Caenorhabditis elegans: one gene and its partners. The protein of the gene in region 3 purifies or fractionates together with the protein of the main gene of each other region. This does not show direct contact. Each region holds a gene or a part of one and is shown on either strand. Other genes may lie near its edges.

The links. The genes of interacting proteins can lie anywhere in the genome.
Region 1: the proteins of B0280.9 (region 3) and mppa-1 fractionate together in Caenorhabditis elegans (co-fractionation; one large-scale study listed by BioGRID). This does not show direct contact.
Region 2: the proteins of B0280.9 (region 3) and gstk-2 fractionate together in Caenorhabditis elegans (co-fractionation; one large-scale study listed by BioGRID). This does not show direct contact.

Annotation. Positions count from the first base shown.
Region 1 is NC_003279.8:1,745,885-1,752,860, reverse strand, and holds the start of mppa-1 (Mitochondrial-processing peptidase subunit alpha), read left to right. Parts: upstream 1-1,805; coding exon 1,806-2,126; intron 2,127-4,165; coding exon 4,166-4,574; intron 4,575-6,815; coding exon 6,816-6,976. Other genes in the region: Y71G12B.10 (hydroxymethylglutaryl-CoA lyase), read right to left, coding at 1-257, 1,002-1,214, 1,276-1,368. UniProt on the Caenorhabditis elegans protein: Substrate recognition and binding subunit of the essential mitochondrial processing protease (MPP), which cleaves the mitochondrial sequence off newly imported precursors proteins.
Region 2 is NC_003282.8:7,237,774-7,244,097, reverse strand, and holds gstk-2 (Glutathione s-transferase kappa 2), read left to right. Parts: upstream 1-1,827; 5' UTR 1,828-1,842; coding exon 1,843-1,993; intron 1,994-2,592; coding exon 2,593-2,972; intron 2,973-3,441; coding exon 3,442-3,588; 3' UTR 3,589-3,653; downstream 3,654-6,324. Other genes in the region: elo-3 (Putative fatty acid elongase 3), read right to left, coding at 4,202-4,315, 4,723-5,400, 6,150-6,269, 6,320-6,324. UniProt on the Caenorhabditis elegans protein: Has roles in respiratory and lipid metabolism.
Region 3 is NC_003281.10:7,117,990-7,126,305, reverse strand, and holds B0280.9 (U3 small nucleolar RNA-associated protein 18 homolog), read left to right. Parts: upstream 1-3,410; 5' UTR 3,411-3,414; coding exon 3,415-3,570; intron 3,571-3,675; coding exon 3,676-3,751; intron 3,752-3,797; coding exon 3,798-4,006; intron 4,007-4,054; coding exon 4,055-4,235; intron 4,236-4,286; coding exon 4,287-4,387; intron 4,388-4,444; coding exon 4,445-4,538; intron 4,539-4,585; coding exon 4,586-4,718; intron 4,719-4,956; coding exon 4,957-5,296; 3' UTR 5,297-5,401; downstream 5,402-8,316. Other genes in the region: B0280.2 (uncharacterized protein), read right to left, coding at 73-219, 285-472, 866-999, 1,045-1,136, 1,360-1,452, 1,539-1,619; rpia-1 (Probable-ribose 5-phosphate isomerase), read right to left, coding at 2,148-2,447, 2,572-2,814, 2,862-3,014, 3,062-3,121. UniProt on the Caenorhabditis elegans protein: Involved in nucleolar processing of pre-18S ribosomal RNA.

The sequences.
Region 1 (6,976 bases), on a different chromosome or scaffold from region 3:
GAGACCTCATAACACCCAGATTCTAGAAGCTTCTCGGCGACTCTGGCCACCATTTCCGGCTGTACAGCTCCCTGATACGGGCATCCAACGACGACTGAAACGTAGCCACGTACTCGAATATTGTTCTCGAGGGCGATTTTTGTGACTTCCATGAGCTTTTTCAGACTATCTTCCACATTGGAATTCACATTTTTCAGTGAAAACGCGTCTGAAGCTGCTCCAAATACGGCAATCTCTTCGACGACTCCTGTTGCGAGCTGGAAACTTGAGAAATTTGCAATTTTAAAGGTGGAGTAGCGCTAGTGGGGAAATTGCTTTAAAACATGCCTATGGTACCACAATGACCGAATATCATGATTAAAAATTTTTAAAAAAATTTCAAAATTTTATATGATTTTTTGAAAATTGAAAAAATCTCAGTTTTTGCCTAATTCCTATTTGAATTTCCGCCAATTGGATTTGTTCGATGGAGCGCGCTTGCACGTTTTTAAATTTATTTATTTTATTTTTTGTTATTTTCCACCGATTTTTAATGTTTTCAGTGTATTTTTGCTCGAATTTTAGAGAAAAAGCCAAGATAAATTCAAATTTTCGATTAAAAAGCACGCTGACAGGCGTAAATCAGTGAAATTAATTAATTCAGGTTCGAAATCATTTAAAAGCGTTACTTTGTCATTTTTACGCCTGTCAGCGTGCTTTTTAATCGAAAATTTGCATTTATCTTGGCTTTTTCTCTAAAATTCGAGCAAAAATACACCGAAAACATTAAAAATTGGTGGAAAATAACAAAAATAAATAAATTTAAAAACGTGCAAGCGCGCTCCATCGAACAAATCCAATTGGCGGAAATTCAAATAGGAATTAGGCAAAAACTGAGATTTTTTCAATTTTCAAAAAATCATATAAAATTTAGAAAAATTTTTTGAATTTTTTTACTATGATATTCGGTCATCCCCACTAGCGCTACTCCACCTTTAAGCCCTAAAAAATCAATAAAATACCGCGTTTTTGAGGCCAGCGGCGTTTGGAACCAGAACCGGGTAGGAGACACCTTCAAATCTCCGATGTTTCTTGACAATTTCGTTGTGATCAGCCAACTGGGGCACCCATTTCGGTGAGACGAAGCTTGTCGTCTCTACCGTTTGAAATCCGCACTCTGAGAGCCGATCGATGAGCTCGACCTTGATTTCGGTGGGAACGAACTTCTTTTCGGCCTGAAATTAAGAAAATAATGGATTTTTTGCAATTATTTTGCAATTTTCCAGGATAAATTACCTGTAAACCGTCTCGCGCGCCAACTTCCACCACACGAAATCGATTTATTGCTGTGGAGTAGGCACGGTTGGCCAGTAGGCGATTGGGCAGCATTTTTTAGCGCGCCTAAAAATATAAAAATAAGGTTTTCTCCATAAACATTAAAATTCGAGCGGTAAAGCAGAAGAAAACATATGAATTGCTCCTAAAAACTGATGGAAACAATGAGAAACTAAAAGAAAAAAATTATTGAGATTTTTCGATATTTTCTGCGGTTTTTTACTGTAAAGTATCAATATTTATCGTTTAAACAATAAAAATCAATAAAAATCCAATAATTTCAGCTAAAAATCAAAGAAAAATCAAAGAAAAACATAAAAAATAGATAAAAAATAAATAATTTTTATTCGAATCCCAAAAGTCCGCAAACACCGCACACCACATTTGACGACAAATTGCACACATTTATTTATTTAATCATTTTTTATTTATTTTTCTCGATTTTTTCAGTTTTTTACTCGAAATTTATCAAAAATACATTAAATTTTCAGATGCTCCTTCGGAAAAGCATCCCCTACATCAAAATATGCCGAGATATAAGCGCTTCCGTCCGAAATAACAAGGAAATTGCGCAGAAACTCCCGCTCTCCGTGCCTCTGCCAATGGAAAACAACTCCAAATCAATAGAAAAAGGATGCCCGCCAATGGGAAGAAACTCGAGGGTTACTAGACTTCCGAACGGCCTGAAAGTTTGCACAGAAGACACTTACGGCGATTTTGTGACTGTTGGCGTCGCGATTGAGAGCGGCTGCCGCTATGAAAATGGTTTTCCGTTTGGAATTTCGAGAATTGTGGAGAAACTTGCTTATAATGTAGGCTTTTGATAGGAAAAATTATGGAAAATTGGAAAAATTAGAGAAAAATATGATGCAAATCGGGAAAAAATGACGAAATTTGAGTTTTCTCGGGCCAGTTTCGGATTAATTTTTACCCGTTCTCCAAAAACCAATAAAACTCAAAAAATACGTTAAAAAACAAACTTAAAACAGAAATTTGCAACAAAAATTTAAAAAAAAACAGGAATTTCTACTGAAAAAGCTAAATTTTCAAAAAAATAACTTTTTAAAAACTTGGTTGAGTACCAAAATCTGTGGAAATATTTTTAATTGACTCCAAATTTTCCCCTGATTCCGAATATCAATGTGAAAAAATTCAAAAAAATTTCCCTGATTTTATATTTAAGCTTGAAATCGCCGAATTTCATTTGTACCTCGGAAACACTTTTTTTAAATTCGCGCCCAAAAATATTCGCATTGGAGCGCGCTTTGATTGTCTTCATTTAAATAATTTATTTATTTTTCGCCGAGTTCAGTTTTTTTAAAAACCAGTTTCATTAATTTTTGTCGAAAAATATTTTTTCTTAGAAAAACCGATACAGATTCGACAAAAATTAATGAAACTGGTTTTTAAAAAAACTGAACTCGGCGAAAAATGAAGAAAATATTCAAATGAAGAAAATCAAAGCGCGCTCCATGCGAATATTTTTGGGCGCGAATTTAAAAAAGTGTTTTCGAAGTACAAATGAAATTCGGCGATTTCAAGCTTCAATATAAAATCAGGGGAATTTTTTTGAATTTTAATTTTTTTCACATAGATATTCGGAATCAGGGGAAAATTTGGAGTAAATTAAAAATATTTCCACAGATTTCGCTACTCAACCAAGTTTTTTAAAAGTTATTTTTTTGGAAAATTTAGTTTTTTCAGTAGAAATTCCTATTTTTTTCTAAAATTTTTGTTGCAAATTTCTGTTTTTGAAGTTTAATTTTTTGAAAAGAAAATTTTGAATTTCTACGCATTTTTTGGGTGTTTTTGTTTTTTGGAGAACGGGGGTAAAAATTAATCCAAAAATGACCCGAGAAAACTCAAGTTTTGTAATTTTTTCGAAAAAAAAACCCTACAGAGCCAAATTTGCCCCCACAAACCAAAAATTTCCAATAAAAAACTAATTTTTCACAAAAATAAATAAATATATATATATATATATCCATGAGAAAATATCTGAAAATACGGAAAAATTGAAATGTTTCAAAAAAAAACCCTTACAATTAAGAAATTCTTGAAACATATATAGTCGGGTTACTGTAGTAGTACAATAGTGGTACGGTAGGAGTACTGTAGGGTTACGGTAGTTTAGGAAAAATTCGTTATATACATAATATATATACATACTATATATCCAGTATACATAGTATATATCATATATATATAGTTTCAAGAATAACTTAAAGGTGGACTAACGGATAAAATTTTTTATGGCGGTTCAAAATTTCGAAAAAATTACACTGATTTTAGCTAAAATCTCGAATTTTGCCTATTTTTCGGTGTCACATCAGTCCGAAGTTGACTTTTTCGGAATTATCATCCTTTATTGCATATATTGGTAGTTTATCTCATTTAATTTTGTTGATTAAGGTACATTTAAAGCCGATAGGTGACCAAAAATCGTCGAAATTGGTTACCGATCGGCTTTAATTGTACCTTAATCAACAAAATTAAATGAGATAAACTACCAATATATGCAATAAAGGATGATAATTCCGAAAAAGTCAACTTCGGACCGATGTGACACCGAAAAATAGGCAAAATTCGAGATTTTAGCTAAAATCAGTGTAATTTTTTCGAAATTTTGAACCGCCATAAAAAATTTTTGAAAAATTTTTGAGCAGTTTCATCACGAAATTCGTTCATTTGAGAACATTTTGGGTCTATACGTTCAAAATCGTCCGAACCGTTAGTCCTCCTTTAATTGTAAGGTTTTTTTTAATTTTAAAAATTTCCAAAATAGTTTTTTTTTGAAACTCGAAAATTTGTTAAAACTAATTTTTCCCAAAAAAAATTGCAAAATTTCCAGTCATCGGAATCGTTCTCAAGCCGCGACGAAGTCTTTGCAAAACTCGAGGAAAACAGTGGAATTGTGGATTGTCAGAGTACACGTGACACAATGATGTACGCGGCGAGCTGCCATCGTGACGGAGTGGATTCTGTAATTCACGTACTATCCGACACTATTTGGAAGCCAATTTTTGACGAACAAAGTCTCGAACAGGCGAAACTAACAGTTTCCTACGAGAATCAAGATCTACCGAATCGAATTGAAGCCATCGAAATTCTCCTTACTGACTGGATTCATCAAGCGGCTTTTCAGAATAATACTATAGGATATCCGAAATTTGGCAACAATTCGATGGATAAAATTCGAGTTTCTGATGTTTATGGGTTTTTGAGCAGAGCTCATACTCCTCAAAGAATGGTTGTTGGAGGTAATTGTGTTGTACTTCACGAGGAGAGGTTTCGATTTTTTTTTGTTGAAAAATCGCAAAAAAAATGTACAAAAAAAACCGTTGAAAATTAGAGAAAATATGGAAAAATTGAGCTTTTTCAAAAAAAAAACCTTTTCGGAAAATTTTATAATTAAAAAATTCTTACAGTACCTTACAAGTACTGTAAAAACCTTAAAGTTACAGTACTTGACTTACAGTAATCCTACAGTACCCCGACCATATCCCTCCACTAACCAAAAAACAAAACCGCTTCAAAAGACAAAAAATCAACTTTTTCCAAAACTACAATAATCCTACAGTACTCCTACAGTACCCCCACCATATCCCTCCACTGAACCCAAGCCAAAATCCATTCAAAAGACGAAAAGTCTTTTTTTCCAAAACTACAGTAATTCTACAGTACCTTTACAGTACTACCACAGTACCCCGACCATATCCCTACACTGAACCGAAACCAATATCTCTTCAAAAGACAAAAAATCAATTTTTCCAAAGCTACTCCTACAGTACCTCTACGTTACCCCTACAGTACCCCGACCATATTCCCCGACTAACCGGAAAGCTATATCCCTCCAAAAGAGAAAAATCAATTTTTTCCAAAACTACAGTAATCCTACAGTACTCTTATAGTAGCTCTACAGTACCTCTACAGTACTACTACAGTACTACTACAGTACCCCGACCTTATCCCCCGACTAACCGGAAACCCATATCCCTCCAAAAGAGAAAAATCAATTTTTTTCCAAAACTACAGTAATCCTACAGTACTCTTATAGTAGCTCTACAGTACCCCTACAGTGCCCCGACGATATCCCTCTACCGAACCAAAAAACAAAACCGCTTCAGAAGACAAAAAATCTTCTTTTTTTTCCAAAACTACAGTAATCCTACAGTACTACTACAGTACCCCGACCTTATCCCCCGACCAACCGGAAACCCATATCCCTCCAAAAGAGAAAAATCAATTTTTTTTTCCAAAACTACAGTAATCCTACAGTACTCCTACAGTACCCCTACAGGTCCCCTACAGTACCCCTACAGTACCCCGACCATATCCCTACACCAACCAAAATACAAAACCTCTTCAGAAGACAAAAAACCATTTTTTTTTCCAAAACTACAGTAATCCTACAGTACCTCTACAGTACTACTACAGTACCCCGACCTTATCCCCCGACCAACCGGAAACCCATATCCCTCCAAAAGAGAAAAATCAATTTTTTTTTCCAAAACTACAGTAATCCTACAGTACTCCTACAGTACCCCTACAGGTCCCCTACAGTACCCCTACAGTACCCCGACCATATCCCTACACCAACCAAAATACAAAACCTCTTCAGAAGACAAAAAATCATTTTTTTTTCCAAAACTACAGTAATCCTACAGTACCTCTACAGTACCCCGACCTTATCCCCCGACTAACCGGAAACCCATATCCCTCCAAAAGAGAAAAATCAATTTTTTTTTCCAAAACTACAGTAATCCTACAGTACTCCTACAGTACCCCTACAGGTCCCCTACAGTACCCCTACAGTACCCCGACCATATCCCTACACCAACCAAAATACAAAACCTCTTCAGAAGACAAAAAATCATTTTTTTTTCCAAAACTACAGTAATCCTACAGTACCTCTACAGTACCCCGACCTTATCCCCCGACTAACCGGAAACCCATATCCCTCCAAAAGAGAAAAATCAATTTTTTTCCAAAACTACAGTAATCCTACAGTACTCCTACAGTACCCCGACCATATCCCTCCACTGAACAGAAACTAATATCTCTTCAAAAGACAAAAAATCATTTTTTTTTTTCCAAAACTACAGTAATCCTACAGTACTCCTATAGTAGCTCTACAGTACCCCTACAGTGTCCCGACCATATCCCTCTACCGAATCAAAAAACAAAACCGCTTCAGAAGACAAAAAATCAATTTTTTCCGAAACTACAGTAATCCTACAGTACTGTAAGTGTAAGTACAGTAAAATATCGAAAAAATATGGAAAAATTGAACTTTAAACCTCTGAAAATTTTCCGATTTGTTTCAATTTTAAAAAAGTAGTATACAGTTAGAAAAACTGTTATAATTTTTAATTTTTTTGAAAAACGTCTTAATTTTCTGTTTAAAACTCGAAAAAAACTTGAAAAAAAAAACTAGATTTTCAGAAAAAAAAAATTAAAAATTCTTTTTTGCAATATTAATTTCAATGTTCTCTTGCCAGGAGTCGGCGTCGGCCACGACGAATTCGTTTCCATCATTTCTCGTCACTTTGACCTCAACAAATCCACGTGGACTACACAACCGACAGTACTTCCCGCCAAAATCCCGGAAATTGACGAATCCCGTGCTCAATACACTGGCGGAGAGCTCCGATTGGACACT
Region 2 (6,324 bases), on a different chromosome or scaffold from region 3:
TTGTTTCTACCAGGCAGTGAATTTTCAGTTTTGAAGGTTGAGTTGGTAGGCACTTTTTTCAACTTTTTTTCCTTGGCTTCAAAAAATATACTTATTACGCTCTTATTTTAAAGGTGTATATATCACGGAAAGAGAAACAGTCACGAGCATTTTATTTATTTATTTATTTACTTCAATACGAGCATTCAACTAGATTCTTTCAATTTGTTCTATTTCTTTACACTTTTATAACAAAAGGCATGTAAAAAATTTAAATTTGAATCACCGCGATGACAAATTCCTTTTTTTTACTTTTTTTTACTTAATTTTGCTTATTTATTTTTGCTTATTTTTGGACTTCTCAATTGTTGATTCAAATTTCATAGCCAATTTTTTTAAATTGAATTTCCTTGTTGGGCCAGTAAGATCAACTTAATGCAAAACCCAAATAAATGATACTAAAAATATTTATTTCTTCAAACTTTGAAACAATTTGCACTCTTTATGAACCAAAAGTCAAGAATGTGGCAAACATTTGCGAGTGGAAGGCAGAGAATTCGATAAGAAGAAAACAAAAATGAGTTCTAGATCTGAACTGTTAGTTTTCACATCATTATTGTTTTTTAAACTTTTCAGATATAGTTTAATTGGAAAACTTATCATAAAATGTAAAAGTTTTCCAATTAAATTTAAAAACAATATATTCCAGTTGTTTTTTCCAAAAGCCGGAACATTTTCGGAACAAATTATTCCAATCGGATTATTTTCTATTTCATTTTCTTTTTTTTTTCTCCGAAACGTGAACTTTATGAAATCCCAATTCCACAACCCAAAGTACATATTTAACCTCCAACAAACAACACAATTCTGTTCCCTCTTTTTCACCCGTTTGCACTTTATTTCTTTTCACTCACCTCGAGTCACGTGATCTCCTTCTAAGAACTGAATTTCAAAAACACAAAATGTTGTTTTCATCCGTTTCTATTTCAGCCCTTTATGTTTTTATTGAACGGTGAAAAGATCGGATCATTTTTACACTGGCTACAATTTTATTTTTTCTCATTTGTTCGTGTATGTCATATACCTGCCTGCCTGCGTGCCTTCTTAGCCCCTCGATTCTACATTCTAACATAAAATGAGCTGGGTGGTGTACACACATGATAAATTTACGTTTATCTCCCTTTATCATTTAAATTGTTTTGTTAAAAGTTCAATTAAGAAATGGCAGGTATTTTTGTGCGTATTTGGAATAGTCATAAAGCATTTAACCAAACTTCTTTCCTGAAAATATTGTTCATTGTATATTTTCATATCTTTTATCCAAAACAACTAAATGCTCAAAAATCGCACATCTGGTTATCACGTGCGGTTAGGAAAAATAGAAATCAAATATTTAGAGTACCCAAGTTTTTTTCCAAACAAAATCTATTTTTATCGTGGTCATTTGCAAACAATTCTACACTTTGTTCACTAGACTTGAGACCAACTGTTTTTTTTCTGTTTTTTGTCCGCTGATGCTCCAATTGCTCTACCACGTGTCTGTGCTCCTATCAACTCATTGGTACCTCCCTTGATGTTTACACAAATATCTTTTCTTTCTTCTCAACTCTATCATTATTGTCTGGCCAACGTGATTCGGCTGTTTTTTTTTTTCGTGCCTAATTATTTTAAAAAAAACTTTTCTACAAAATAAGAATTTTCAGAAATCTTAAAAGCGTCCCGAAGTAGTTCAAGTTGTTTTAGTACTGGAGCTCATTAAGGTTTAGAAAAATCATAAGCTTCTGTTTTTTTTTCGCTTTTTTGTCGAAAAATTTTAAAATAATTGCTGAATTTTCATGAATTTTGCAGACTTCAAGTTTCAAAATGCCGAACCGAAAAGTGGTCAAATTCTTCTTCGATGTCATTTCTCCGTACAGTTACTTTGGATTCGAAGGAATCACTCGTCATCGTTCCGTTTGGAAGACTCCAATTCAGATGAAACCATTCTTTTTTGCTGGTGTTGTCAGACATACTGGTGAGTTTTTGTATTTTTGTCTTGAAATTTCTCTAATATCCGTAAAAAAATGGAATTAGCTTTTTTAAAGTAAGGTTTTTAAACCATGACCCTCTAACAATTCCGTTTGAAATGTCAAAATAAAAGCTTTCAATTTACTTCTGGAAAAGGACATGCAAAACCTTAAGAAGCCTGTATGTTATTATTTTCTAAAAAATGCACCTCTATCTATTTATATCATAAGGTCGGCTACTTCTACTTCTTAAAATCTGCTTTAATCTGACGAAGGGCACTAGAATAGATAAATACACTTAAATAGTTCAACAATAGTTCAACATTATAATAGTTGAACATGACATATATTAACATAATAAGACAATCCAAAAATTTCAGGATTTTTCAAAATGATCAGTGAACGTTTTGATAAGTTGCCAAATGTCCCTAAAAGGACTATTTGAAAGCAATTTCGAGACATTTGGAAAAGTGATATTTGGTAATTTTATAAGTATAGGAGCATTGATAAATAACATAATTGTTTTGAAAATTTTTTTCGAATCGTGCTAATCATCAGAAAGTTGTTTGATATGTACCTTCTAAATCATATAACTGCAAGTTTTCAGAAAACCCCGGTCTCCCACTCCGTATTCCTATCAAAGAAAAGTACATGCACAAAGATTTGCTCTTCTCTGCCCAATATTGGGGAATTCCGTTCCGTCTTCCCAAGGACTACACAAATATGATGTTGAACACAAGTTCAATCGTTCCACAACGTATTCTTGTCGCTTCACAACTCCGTGATAATGTTTTGATGGAAGACGTTGCTCGTGGACTCTGGCATCGATTTTATGCATACGGAAAACCAATTTTCACAAAAAGTCAAGTTGCCGAAGTTTTGAGAGATTTGCATGTAAAAGATGTCGATGAGTTGGTGATGATGAGTGATTCGGCAGAAGTTAAGAACATTTTAAGAGAAAACACAGATGAAGCCATCGGGAATGGAGTAGGTCATTTATTATAGGAACCCAGAAAAACACGGAATCGACGAGAAAACACGCTCCACAACCAATTTAAAACGGTCCGCCCCCTAACGATGGGTCTCGTTAGGTATTTTCCGTTAAACTTGAACGTTTTTGATTAGGCTCGACAATTTTCTAGAATTAGTCTTTCTGTTATATTTTTCGAAGTGTTTAATGATTTCAACATCGAAATGATGTCTAAGAAAATTATGTGAATTTAGGGCGTTTTCACTTATCATAATAATTTTATTTCATCTATTTCAACCGAAAAAACATCAAAAACTACGAAAAATATAACAAAATAGACGACGAACGCAAAATTCCTAACGAGACCCATGGTTTAGGGGCGGAGCATTTTCAGTTGGCCCCGGAGCGCGCTTGCGCGTCGTTTTAAAATGTTTTTTTGCTGTTTTATAATATTCTCAATTGGGAATTAAAATTAATTTTTTTCAGTGTTTCGGAGCTCCGTGGATGCATATCACTGATGGTCACGGAAAAGTACTTCAAACAGTTTTCGGATCGGATCGCCTTCCACAGGTGGCCGATTTTCTTGCCGAGCCATTCAAGGGTCCAATGAGAGAGAAGAAGCCGAACGCATAAATTGTCAGATTAGCATTCTAAAAAGTGTCTAGAATTTTATCTGAGAAAGAATAACGATTAAAATTAATTCTTTCTTTTGTGTTGGCAAGAGAAATACAGAAAACGATGGAAAAAATGTGGAAACAAAAAGACTACTAATCTATTTCACACGAGTTTCAATTTGTTGCGGCAATTACAGAAAAAAAACGGAGCAAAAAAGAAAGAGCATAAGCTAACGAAAACTTGGGGTTGGTTGGGGGGACGAAGGGTGAGAGATCTGAGTATGTGTTAGTTTTGCGTGGCCTCTGATGATTAGCCGAATATAAATAAGGGAAAGCGTAAAGGTTTGATAAAAAGTAAAAGAGAAATTTCAAGAAACGAAAAATAATATTACCGGTACAGAGAGTGTAGATAGTTAGAGAGTGACAGACATCCGGGACCCAATGGGGCGGGGCGCGCGGAAGAGACGATTTGTGTCGATTTACGAAATTTTCCTCGTTGTCATTATTTCGTAAATCGACACAAATCGTCTCTTCCGCGCGCCCCGCCCCATTAGGTCCCGGATGTCTGTCACTCTCTAACTATCTACACTCTCTGTACCGGTAATAGAGAACAAATAACAATCTGATATTTTCTAATCAGCTTTTTGAACTTTTCTTCGTGCGGCGGCGGACCTCGTTGTGATGGATGGCTCAGCGATGTTAGCATTGATATCTTCTTTTGGCTCCAGAATTTCGAAATCAACAGGCTGAAAAACGAATTATTTTTTTCCAAAGATTTTTTAAAAATATGCTCATAAGTCAGAATTTTCCAAGTTTCCCAGCAAGGGTAACGGGTTTTCCATTTTTTACTGAAATCTAACAATCGAAATGTTTTTTCGATTTTTCTGATATTTCGAAAAAATTCGATTTTTTCCAAATAGAAAAGTTAAAATTGTGGTCATTTTTCTTCTTGGAAGAATAAGTTCATATGTTTTCTTATGTTTTTTTCCATCAACATTAACAAAATTTGATGAAAATTGAATTTTATAATTATTTTCTGAACATTGCCGATTTTTCGATTTTCTTGAAACCTTTTTTCTCAGGTAAATTAAAACGAGATCGGGGAAATTTTTTGAATTATTTTCATAATTTACTGTACCTAAAAGATGCTCACCTCTTCCTTTTCCTTCTTATCTTTCTTAACTTCGGTATAACGGTTGTTTTTCTTAACATATGCATGGTAGAAGAAGTTGGCGAAAAGAAGGAAATATGTGAAATAAACTCCAAAGCATAATCCCAAATTGTCCCATGTCTGTTGGCAGTATTCACCCGATGACTTGATACGGTAGACAGTGACTCCGATGATTACTCCCATAACCATTTGAGCAAGTTGGAGAGTAGTAACAACCATTGCCATTTGTTTTGGAAGACGGAATTTCAGAGAACGAAGAGCATAGTAGGAATACATAAGAGCATGAACTCCATAATTCATCCAAATGAACCACCGTCCTGATGCAGTGTGATCCTTGTACGCGTGCCATGTGTAGATCATAACAGTTACATGATGATACCAGTGAAGGAAGATGAGTGGACGTTTACGAAGAACGATGAAGATTGTGTCGATGAGCTCGAAAAGTTTGCTCATTGCGAATTGTTCAGTCCAGAAACCAGTGACTCCTTGAGCATAAGATGAATGACAAATTGAATATTTGAATGAGTTTCCTTCTGCTGACCAACTCCATACAAATTCAGGTGTCATTCGGAGGAACCCGAGAATTGAGAAAATGGCTAAAAATGAATTCCAGACGAAGAGTGGTGTGTCCAGTTGGAAGGGCTTGTACTTTTCCATAATCTGAAACATTTGAGAACTATTAAGTGATTTTCGGTTTCGATTCTTAATTGCATTCTGAAGGCTAGACTCAAAAGTAATAACTCGTGATTTTTTGTAGATGAGAACCACCTGCTAAGCAATTACTTTAATGTCGATATATTTTCGGTTATGCTTTAAAATATGTAACGCACCTAGGAGGCTTCTGAAACGGAATTCACAGTTTTTGGGAGTAGAGGTTGTGTTTTCTATAGTAAAAACTGGTTAGAAACTACCGAATTCATGATGAGACTTCTCAAAAAAAATTCTAAAAATTTTTATGACAAAAATTCCGAAAAAGTCCAAAATTTGAAATTTTGCCAGCTTTTTCTTGTCGCTGCAGCTGGGAAACAGTTTTTTATTGATGTAATAACTTTTATTGAATATTTTGGTAATTATTCTCGCGTTAACTAGTTTCTTTTAGCACATTTCAGATTTTAGAAAAATGCGCCTCTTTTTCGGAAATTGACACGCCATAAAAATTCTTTTTTTTTTTTGAGAAGTGTCAATACTCTCTCTTTAACCACTATTGTAGTTTTCGACTGTTTTTCTACACATAATTTTCTACAGACATTTCCAGGAAATATGGTGTGACTTCCTATGTTTCACTGTTTTTGGAGCATCATTTTCTGTCATTATCATGTCACTTTTCTAGCGTCTCACCTAGCTAAAACTCTTATCAGTTTAACTATAACTAATTTTTCTGCAACTATCAAAAAAGCGTATACACAAACCTTCTTTCCTGTAAAAATGACGGCTACATACACGACAGATGCTGTAATTGATTGATACCAGTGATTTTGCATCCATGTTGTCGATCGAAATGCATCAAAAGATGTCTCAAAGGGAAGGAACTGAAAATATTTATTGTTTTTTTTTTAATTTTTTGATAATAAATACTCACTATGC
Region 3 (8,316 bases):
TTAGATTTTCAAATTTTGGACAACAATGTTTTCGAGTCTTATTTGTCGACTTTTGTCAATTTTCGGATTCACTTTACTTGTTTTGACTTTATCCTTATTTTTGTCCTTAACTTCTTTCACAGTTTGAGATTCTTTTTTCACCATCAATGATTGTCTAATATGATCTTCATTTCTTACAATCAATTGCTTCACAATTTCCTCTTCTTCTGGATTATTCACCTGAAATTTCAACGTAGTCTTGGCAATAGAGGTTTGGAAAACTATACATTCAATTTACTCCTAACTTGCATATACAAATCTTCTTGTACATCTGTCAACTTCACACCATCAACATGCCGAAAATCTGTTGGTGCTTCAATTTCAACTTGTTTTCTTGGTTCCCTGTGGGATTTGAATGGATCATGAAAGAAACTACTTTTCTTCTTCGTCTTTCCCTCCAATGCTGGCTGCTTTGCTTTATCGGTACTTCTCGCTGAAATTTAAGGCTTGTGTATTATAGCCCCATATTTTGAAAATAAATTAGTAATTGTTGTATTTTCCCATTTATTAAAAATGTGAATATCATTTTCGAATAGTAAGCCTAAGAATCTATATATAAAAGTCACATTCAAAATCTAAAAAGATAAATTTTACAAATGTGGGGTTATCATACACAAGTACCGATTTAGGGTTCTATCTTGCATATATTAGAACTCAAGTTACCGTATTCTACCTATTTCTGTAATAAAAGCAAAGATAGACGGAAATATAAACATTACCCTATTATTATTGAACTCAAAAATTGATTTAAGAAATAGTATTGTACATAATAAAAATATGGAAAAAGCGATATTTTTCCAACTAGTTTAATAATCGAATTACTCACTTTGTCGTTTGCAAACACTATTGTGAAAGTTCTCACATTCCTTTGAGTCGTAAAAGTTCAATCCAATGTATCTGGATTCTGCCTCAAAAACGAGTAACCTTGCATGTTCCTGCATTGTTTCAAACTTTTTGTCTCTATAATCATAGTGTTAGTTGAAATTAAATTATATTCAAGATTACCTAATAAGAAAATCAAATTGAACTGTTGGTTCCCAATCTGGATCTGCAGATGGTTCCATTACTATTATCCGGTAATATCGTTCCGTACTGTTCTGAAAAATTGAATTAATCGTCTGTTGAGTTTGAGTATTTCTTTGCAAAACTAAATTGGATTTTGCAAACAATCCTACTGCGACTCACTTCGAAAAAAGTATACATTTCTCATTTTGAAATAATTAATCTAGATTAATTGTTTGTTCTTCTAGTAGTTTTCATATGATAACATCTTTGCAGCTTTCTACCACAGTTCATCTTTTTAAAATTTATCGTACTTACTTTCAAAAACAATGCCACAGCGGTTCCCCCATTCGGTATCCGCCAATGCCCATTTTCAGAAAAAAGAAGTTGACAAATACCTGATGAAAGTATCTGAAATGAGCACAAGCTAGTTGAATTGAAACTACATTTGTCTTTAAGCAGAGACCGTGCCTATCTCTTAGTGCACAAAATCATACCTTATCGCTTGCCGATATTCCTCTTAGAACACTATTTTTTTCGTTGATCTCGAGGAAATCACTCAATTCAGATGTAATCATTTGGAAATTAAAATTTGAACAATCTGGAATGAATAGAATACGAATGATACGATTTGACGAAAGTGCTTTTTAATACAGCAATTGTTAAAAATTTTGAAATATTTACTTATTTCCCAACTTTATCAGTATTTTTGAAATTATTGCTCGCTCTTAATTTTACCGCCTCCAATGAGTCATTTAGGAAGCAAATTCTCATTTCTTTCAATCTTTAAGCTATCCTCGCCATTCATACACTTCAAGACTACTGTAATTTGAAATTAAACAGTTTCAGACACTTTACATCCAGACACTTTACATTTCAAAACGTTTTCAGAGTTTTCTAATTTTTTTTTCAGTTTTTTAAGAAAGACGTTTTTTCAACACAATTTTTATTGGGGCTATTCTAAGAACTACACGTATACTAGGAACATTGGGAATGAATGGGTACAATTTTCACAACAACTGGGAAGAGGAAAAGTGAAGTTTGGAGAGTGTGGTGGTGATAAGAAACAACTAATTTTCAATATGAACAAAATTCGATGCAAGTAGTCAGTGCTTCTTGGAATTGACAATTTCCTTGACAGATCCGTCAGAGTACGCGAAGAATACTGCGTCGACGCAACCGATGAATAATCCGGTTTCAACAATTCCTGGTGTATTGGCCAATCGTTGCTGAATCGCGAACCAATCTCTTCCGGATACGTTTTTCTCGAACTGCCAATCAATAATGAAGTTTCCATTGTCTGTCACAATTGGTCCGCACTTTTTGACAGCTTGTCGAAGTTGACAGCTTCCACCTTCAGCGCGTGGAATCGAACGTAGAAGTGGTTGAGCAGCAAGAGGTAGAACCTGCAATAAATCTCATTAAAAACAGTCAACATAACTACATCTATTTAGAAAAAACTATTGTTCTAAAGTTTATTCTTTAGTGCATCTTTCTTTACTGATAATTATAAAAAGTTAAATAATTTACCTCAATTGGGACATTCGGATAGCGATCACCCAAGTGTTTGGAATCTTTTAAATAATCAGCGATCACGTAAAAGTTTTTTGCAGCGGTTTGAACAATTTTTTCTTGAGCCAGACATCCACCTCCGCCTTTGATGCACGTGAACTGTCCGTCAACTTCATCAGCTCCATCAATACACACATCCAGTTCTGGATGTGAATCCAAATCGGAGACAGGGAGACCAGACTCAATCAGCCATTGTTTTGTCTGAAATACTTATTTATAACAATTGGGTTTGTTGAAAATCTGTTTACCAAAAAACTGGTTGGAACACAGATGATATCCTTGAGACTTCCATTCTGAAATCCTTGTTTAAGATATTCTACCAAATACTTGACAGTGCTTCCGGATCCAACACCAAGACGGCAACCACTTTGCACATATTTTTCACCGCAGGCAAACGCAGCCTGAAATGATTAATGAGGGTTGGAATTGGTCTTAATTTTTGACTTACTCGTTTCTTCGCCTGCTCAATAGGAGCCAGTTCTGCTTCAGGGCCGGTGGAGGTGACCATTCTGGCGGTTCGCAATACTCCTGATAATGGAAATTTTGTAGAAAACATACAAAAATGCTGAAAAGAAAACGAAAACAATAGTAAATTGATAAGAAAGACTGAAATTTTCAGCTGAAATACTGAAATTAATGAAATTCTGCATTGAGACGTGACGGTGTTTGCACTAAAACTACGATAACACACACTATTTGACGACAATTGCTTCTCATTTTTCTTTTTTCTTTTCCGAATTTTCTTTAATTTTCAGCTTATTGAATCTTTCATTAAGGTTATTTTGAACAATTTTCAGAGAAATGAGCAAACGGCCAGTGATTGAGTCTGAAAAGCCTGCGTGGCACGATGAGGACGACGATAATATGGTTGTGGCGGTTCCAAAAAAAGTGAAAATGACAATGCGAGTTGAACTCAAGCGAACCACAGACGAAGAACATGGAGAATTGGATTCAAAGGTAAATTTTTTTTAGAAATACGTTATTCAACGTGTAATAAAGATTATATAATTGAAAATAGGCAGAAGGATAAATTACTTCTGAAAAATAATTTTAATATTTTAGGAATACGTTGGTAGATTGCAAGAGGCGTTCAGAAAACGCCACGGAGGCACACCAAAATGGGCTAAGGCTGCTGCAGGTTTTTGGAAAATCAATAGTTCAAAAATCGTATTTTACAATTTTAGGAGACGAAGAAGAAGGGTCATTGTTGAAAACTGCTGCCGGATATTTGGCGAAAGACGTGAATTTACCAAAAACAACTATTCATACAACTCTTATAAAAGATTTCAACATCGGACACCGATACACTCGTGGAATCACTGTTGTTAAATTTCATAAAACCCGACCAGTGCTCATTGTTGCCGATCAAGGTGGAAATGTTCAACTTTTTAAAGTAAGTTGTGTTTTCTGTTTTAATTAAACCATTCCTTACTTATTTCAGGTAAGTCGTGAGGTTAAAAAGGATCGTTTCCTTCAAAGTGCGAATTTCTCAAAATTCCCGATTGATAGTCTGGAAATTGCTGATAAAGGACACTCTGTGATCTGTTCTTCAAGCCGAAAGGAATATTTGATGCAGTACAATATGGAAACAAGAGAAGTGACACAGTTGAAACCTCCAAACAGTACGTTTAATATTTAATAAAATTTGAAGCAAAACTTTGAACATTTTACAGCAGTACCAAAGCAAGGAATTCGGCTCTTTGCCATTTCGCATGACTCTCAATTTTTGGCAATTGCAGGACACAATTCTCACATCTATGTTCTCCATGCTACTGTATGTCAAAAAATTAAATTATTGGCAAATTAAAAGTTTAAATGTAAAATGTTTCAGTCGATGGAGCATATCACAACAATATCACTCCCAGCAAATGCGTCAGAAATCAAGTTTTTCCCATCGCACAGCCGTGAAATTTGGATCATCTGCGGTTGGTTTTATATTGCCAAAAATTCAAAAATTATTCGAAATTTCTAGAGACCGGCCAAATTGTGATCGCAAACATTGGATTGCCGGGAACCAAATCATCGCAACATACATTCACCGACGATGGAGCTGTGCACGGAACAACACTCGCCATCAGCCAACATGGAGATTACTTTGCGACTGGGTAAGCTTTTTTAAAATCAAACTTTTATAATTCGTAAAATCACGATACTGTCATTCATTCATATAATTCATATATTAATATAATTGTACAGTTTGCTACATCTTTTTTTTTGTTGATATTTTCAGTTTAGCAACAAAAATTTAAAAAAAAAAATCTTTTTTTGTTGAATTCCGGTGAAAATAAATGACCTAGTCTTTACATACATCCTGATTATATGATGAAAATTTGAAATTTCCAGAAGTGATACCGGAATCGTGAATGTCTATTCTGGAAATGATTGCCGCAATTCTACAAATCCTCGTCCACTTTTCAATGTTTCTAATCTCGTCACCGCGGTCTCATCAATCGCTTTCAATTCTGATGCTCAATTGATGGCAATTTGTTCAAATGTCAAGGACAATCATCTTCGTCTCGTCCACGTGGCAAGTCAGACAACATTCAAAAACTTCCCGGAAAGAAACGGAAAAGTGACACATGCAAGATGTGTGGAGTTTTCTCCAAATGGAGGATATATGGCCGTTGGAAACGATGATGGACGTCTTCATGTTTTTGAAATTCATCATTTTACAGACTATTAATTGGTTCTAACATTGTTATTCTTTTCTTTGTCGTTGATTTCGTCCAAATTGTTTTGTTTTTATTCTTCATCCGTTTTTTTGTTGTTATGAAAATTTATCGTTTTTATTCCAACTTCCAGAGCAGCTTTTGAACCACTGGAAGATTTAAAAATACAAACCGACGTTTGCACAAAAAATTCAAAAACAGTTGAACGTAGTCCTAGTCTGTACCGAAAAATGACTTGATCGTTCTTTGTACACTATAGTGACATAGAATTGTCTCAATAGTCGCCAGTTAGAAAAGGGTTGAACAACACAACGAACGATCGAAAATGACGAAAAATTAACAATGAATGTCAGTTTTTCACGTGAAGTCTGGTAGAATTAGTATAAGAGGAACAAGAAAAGTTTAATTTGTTTCTCCAAAGTCCGTTTTTCGGCAGATTTTTCACTGGAGCACAATAACCAATGGTCTCTTACCGACCTACTTGTCACCCGATTTTATTGTGTTTTGATGTCTTAATTCTAGAATTGTGATCGTTGATTATTTGATTGAGAGGAAAACGAATTCAGATTTCTTATCGAAAAACCTACAATTATAACTTTTCCGATCTGTCAATTTGGCCATTTTTTAATTATTTTTTTTGAAGATTAAAAAAAGTTACCGTTTATTCTCTATTAGTGCGGCATCCCCATTGTTCAACTTTGACATCTCATATCTCGGTCATCTCTTGATTTCAGCCAAAAAACTTTAGCTAAAATGCTTATTAAATCTTTTTCTATGCCTAATGTTTTTGAAATGTACAAAATCACCCAAAACCTTCGAGATATATGCAAGTTGAGCTATGTGGGTGCAGCACTGAAAGAGAATATACGATATATTACCATTTTCAGATAAAATCAACTGTTTAAAACTACATCGAATTAACAAATCTGTAAAAAATGTAACGGTCATTATGACTGAGATCGTGGCGAGACCCACTCAAAAAACAGTGTGTGTCTTTAAACTGATGACGGAAAGAAATTTCGTGAAATTATGTCCTCAGTATTGAAACTTGGCACTCAGAAGATTGTTGCTTTTATAAACTCAGTTCCACAAATTTTTTGGCGCCTGTACATAACGACGGAAAAACTGAAATCAAAATACACGTGCCTTCAAAGTACCTTCTCCAGATTTCAGCTTCCACACGATAATTGTTTTTCGAATAGAAGCTACGTATAAAGCCAAATGTTGATGTAATGCCCGCCTGATTATTATCATTGTAAAGTCCACTTCCTCTAGTAATACGACGATATCACAAAACTAACAATTATCATGAAAAATATGTTCTTTCTATAAGTCAGTTAAAAAATTTATTAAAGACTCAATTTAAAATATCAATTAAGATGTCAATGTTTTGGATTTAGGAACTAGAGATTAAAATTATTTATTTTCTAATGTATAGAGTTTATAAAGTCGACAGGCAGGCACAAAAACTAGTTACAAGACATGTGTAACTTTTATTCATTTTCCAATTTTCGATTGTATCACAAGTCTTTGACTAACTAAGTAAGAAGTAATATCATTTTTGGAAATCTTTCTCTGATTCCACCTGAATATTATCATTGCGACGAGTTATAATTCATGAATCTTCTATATTTACTCCTCAACAAATGTGACTCGTCTTGATCTTTAACTTGAGTGTTGAGCTGGATATCGTCGGATTTGAATAAGATAAGTGGGCGAAAAAATGATACGACATTTTTATTTAATTTATATTCCGAAGTGGTATAGTCAGAGCCTTTTCAAATTTTATGTTTTTTGAACGCAAATATCTGGAAAAATGTTATTAATATATCCAATTGAAATCAATTTTTGATCACAACCGATAGTATCTTTACATACACAAAACACAAATTCTTAGACATAGAAAACAGTTTTTAAGATGCAACCTACATTCTATCAATCAATTTTATAGTTTTTTATAAAAATTCTGACTTCGGAGATTGTATCTTTTTAATGACAGGTGGCTACAAGTATTTGTTTGTTTAACTATAAGGAGAGAGAGTATACTGCATTTATTCCTTGGTTAAAATCCAATAGAAGCATATCTTTATGTATTTCATTAAAGTTTCAAGTTGAAACGTCAACTAATGAAACATTTTCAGGTGTGTATAGAAATAGGGAAGGTGTGAGCCATCCAGTGAGCAATTAACATTTTTGAGCCTACGTGGAGCTCTTTCTCCTGTGTATATTTGGAGCATGTTGACTTTTCGCATAGGACCAAATTTAATTAATTGTTTAAAATATTCGTCAAGGTAAGACGTCAAGTCATTTATTAAATTGTAGTGCACAAAAAGCCGTACTTCTGACTCATGTGTTCAACGTCAGATGAAAATAAATGCTCATTCAACCAAAGATTAGCTCGTTAGAAAAGTTCAGCGATCATAAGAGTTCATTAAGACTGCAAGTTCCAAAGAATCAGAGAGAAATGTCTGGCTTCTCTCTTTTTTTCCTTGATATTTCAGTGAGTCTCTTTGTGTTTCTACTTTGATTCAGGTATCTACAAGATATTTTAGTTTTATTTTTGTCTCGGTGTAGACACAAACGCGCATTCAATTCTAACAGGATTAAAAGAGCAATGCTGTAATATCTGGATTTCTGATCTTTTGGGAGGTATCTGTTTGAAATCAGATTCAACTTTTTGAGCAACTCTTCGTCTATTTAGATACTATTATTGGTACTTGTGTATTACATGCCCTCATTTTTTGAGTAATTTTTAAAGTTAAAAACAATAAAAACGTGTACCACATTTTTGTATTTCTAGGCTTAGGAAATATCCTTTTCTAAGCCTGAAGAGGAAAAATGTTTATCACGTTTATTTTAATTGGAGAAATTAATGAAAATTAAAATGAAGGCATGTAATACACAAGTACCCTATTATTTCCTTTTTCGGAGCGATTTTTGGTCGTTTCTAAGACATATTCGCCCAGATATCATGTTTCTTATTCACTCGTTTTCATGAATATTATATTTTACAAATTTTTGTTTTGTTAGATAT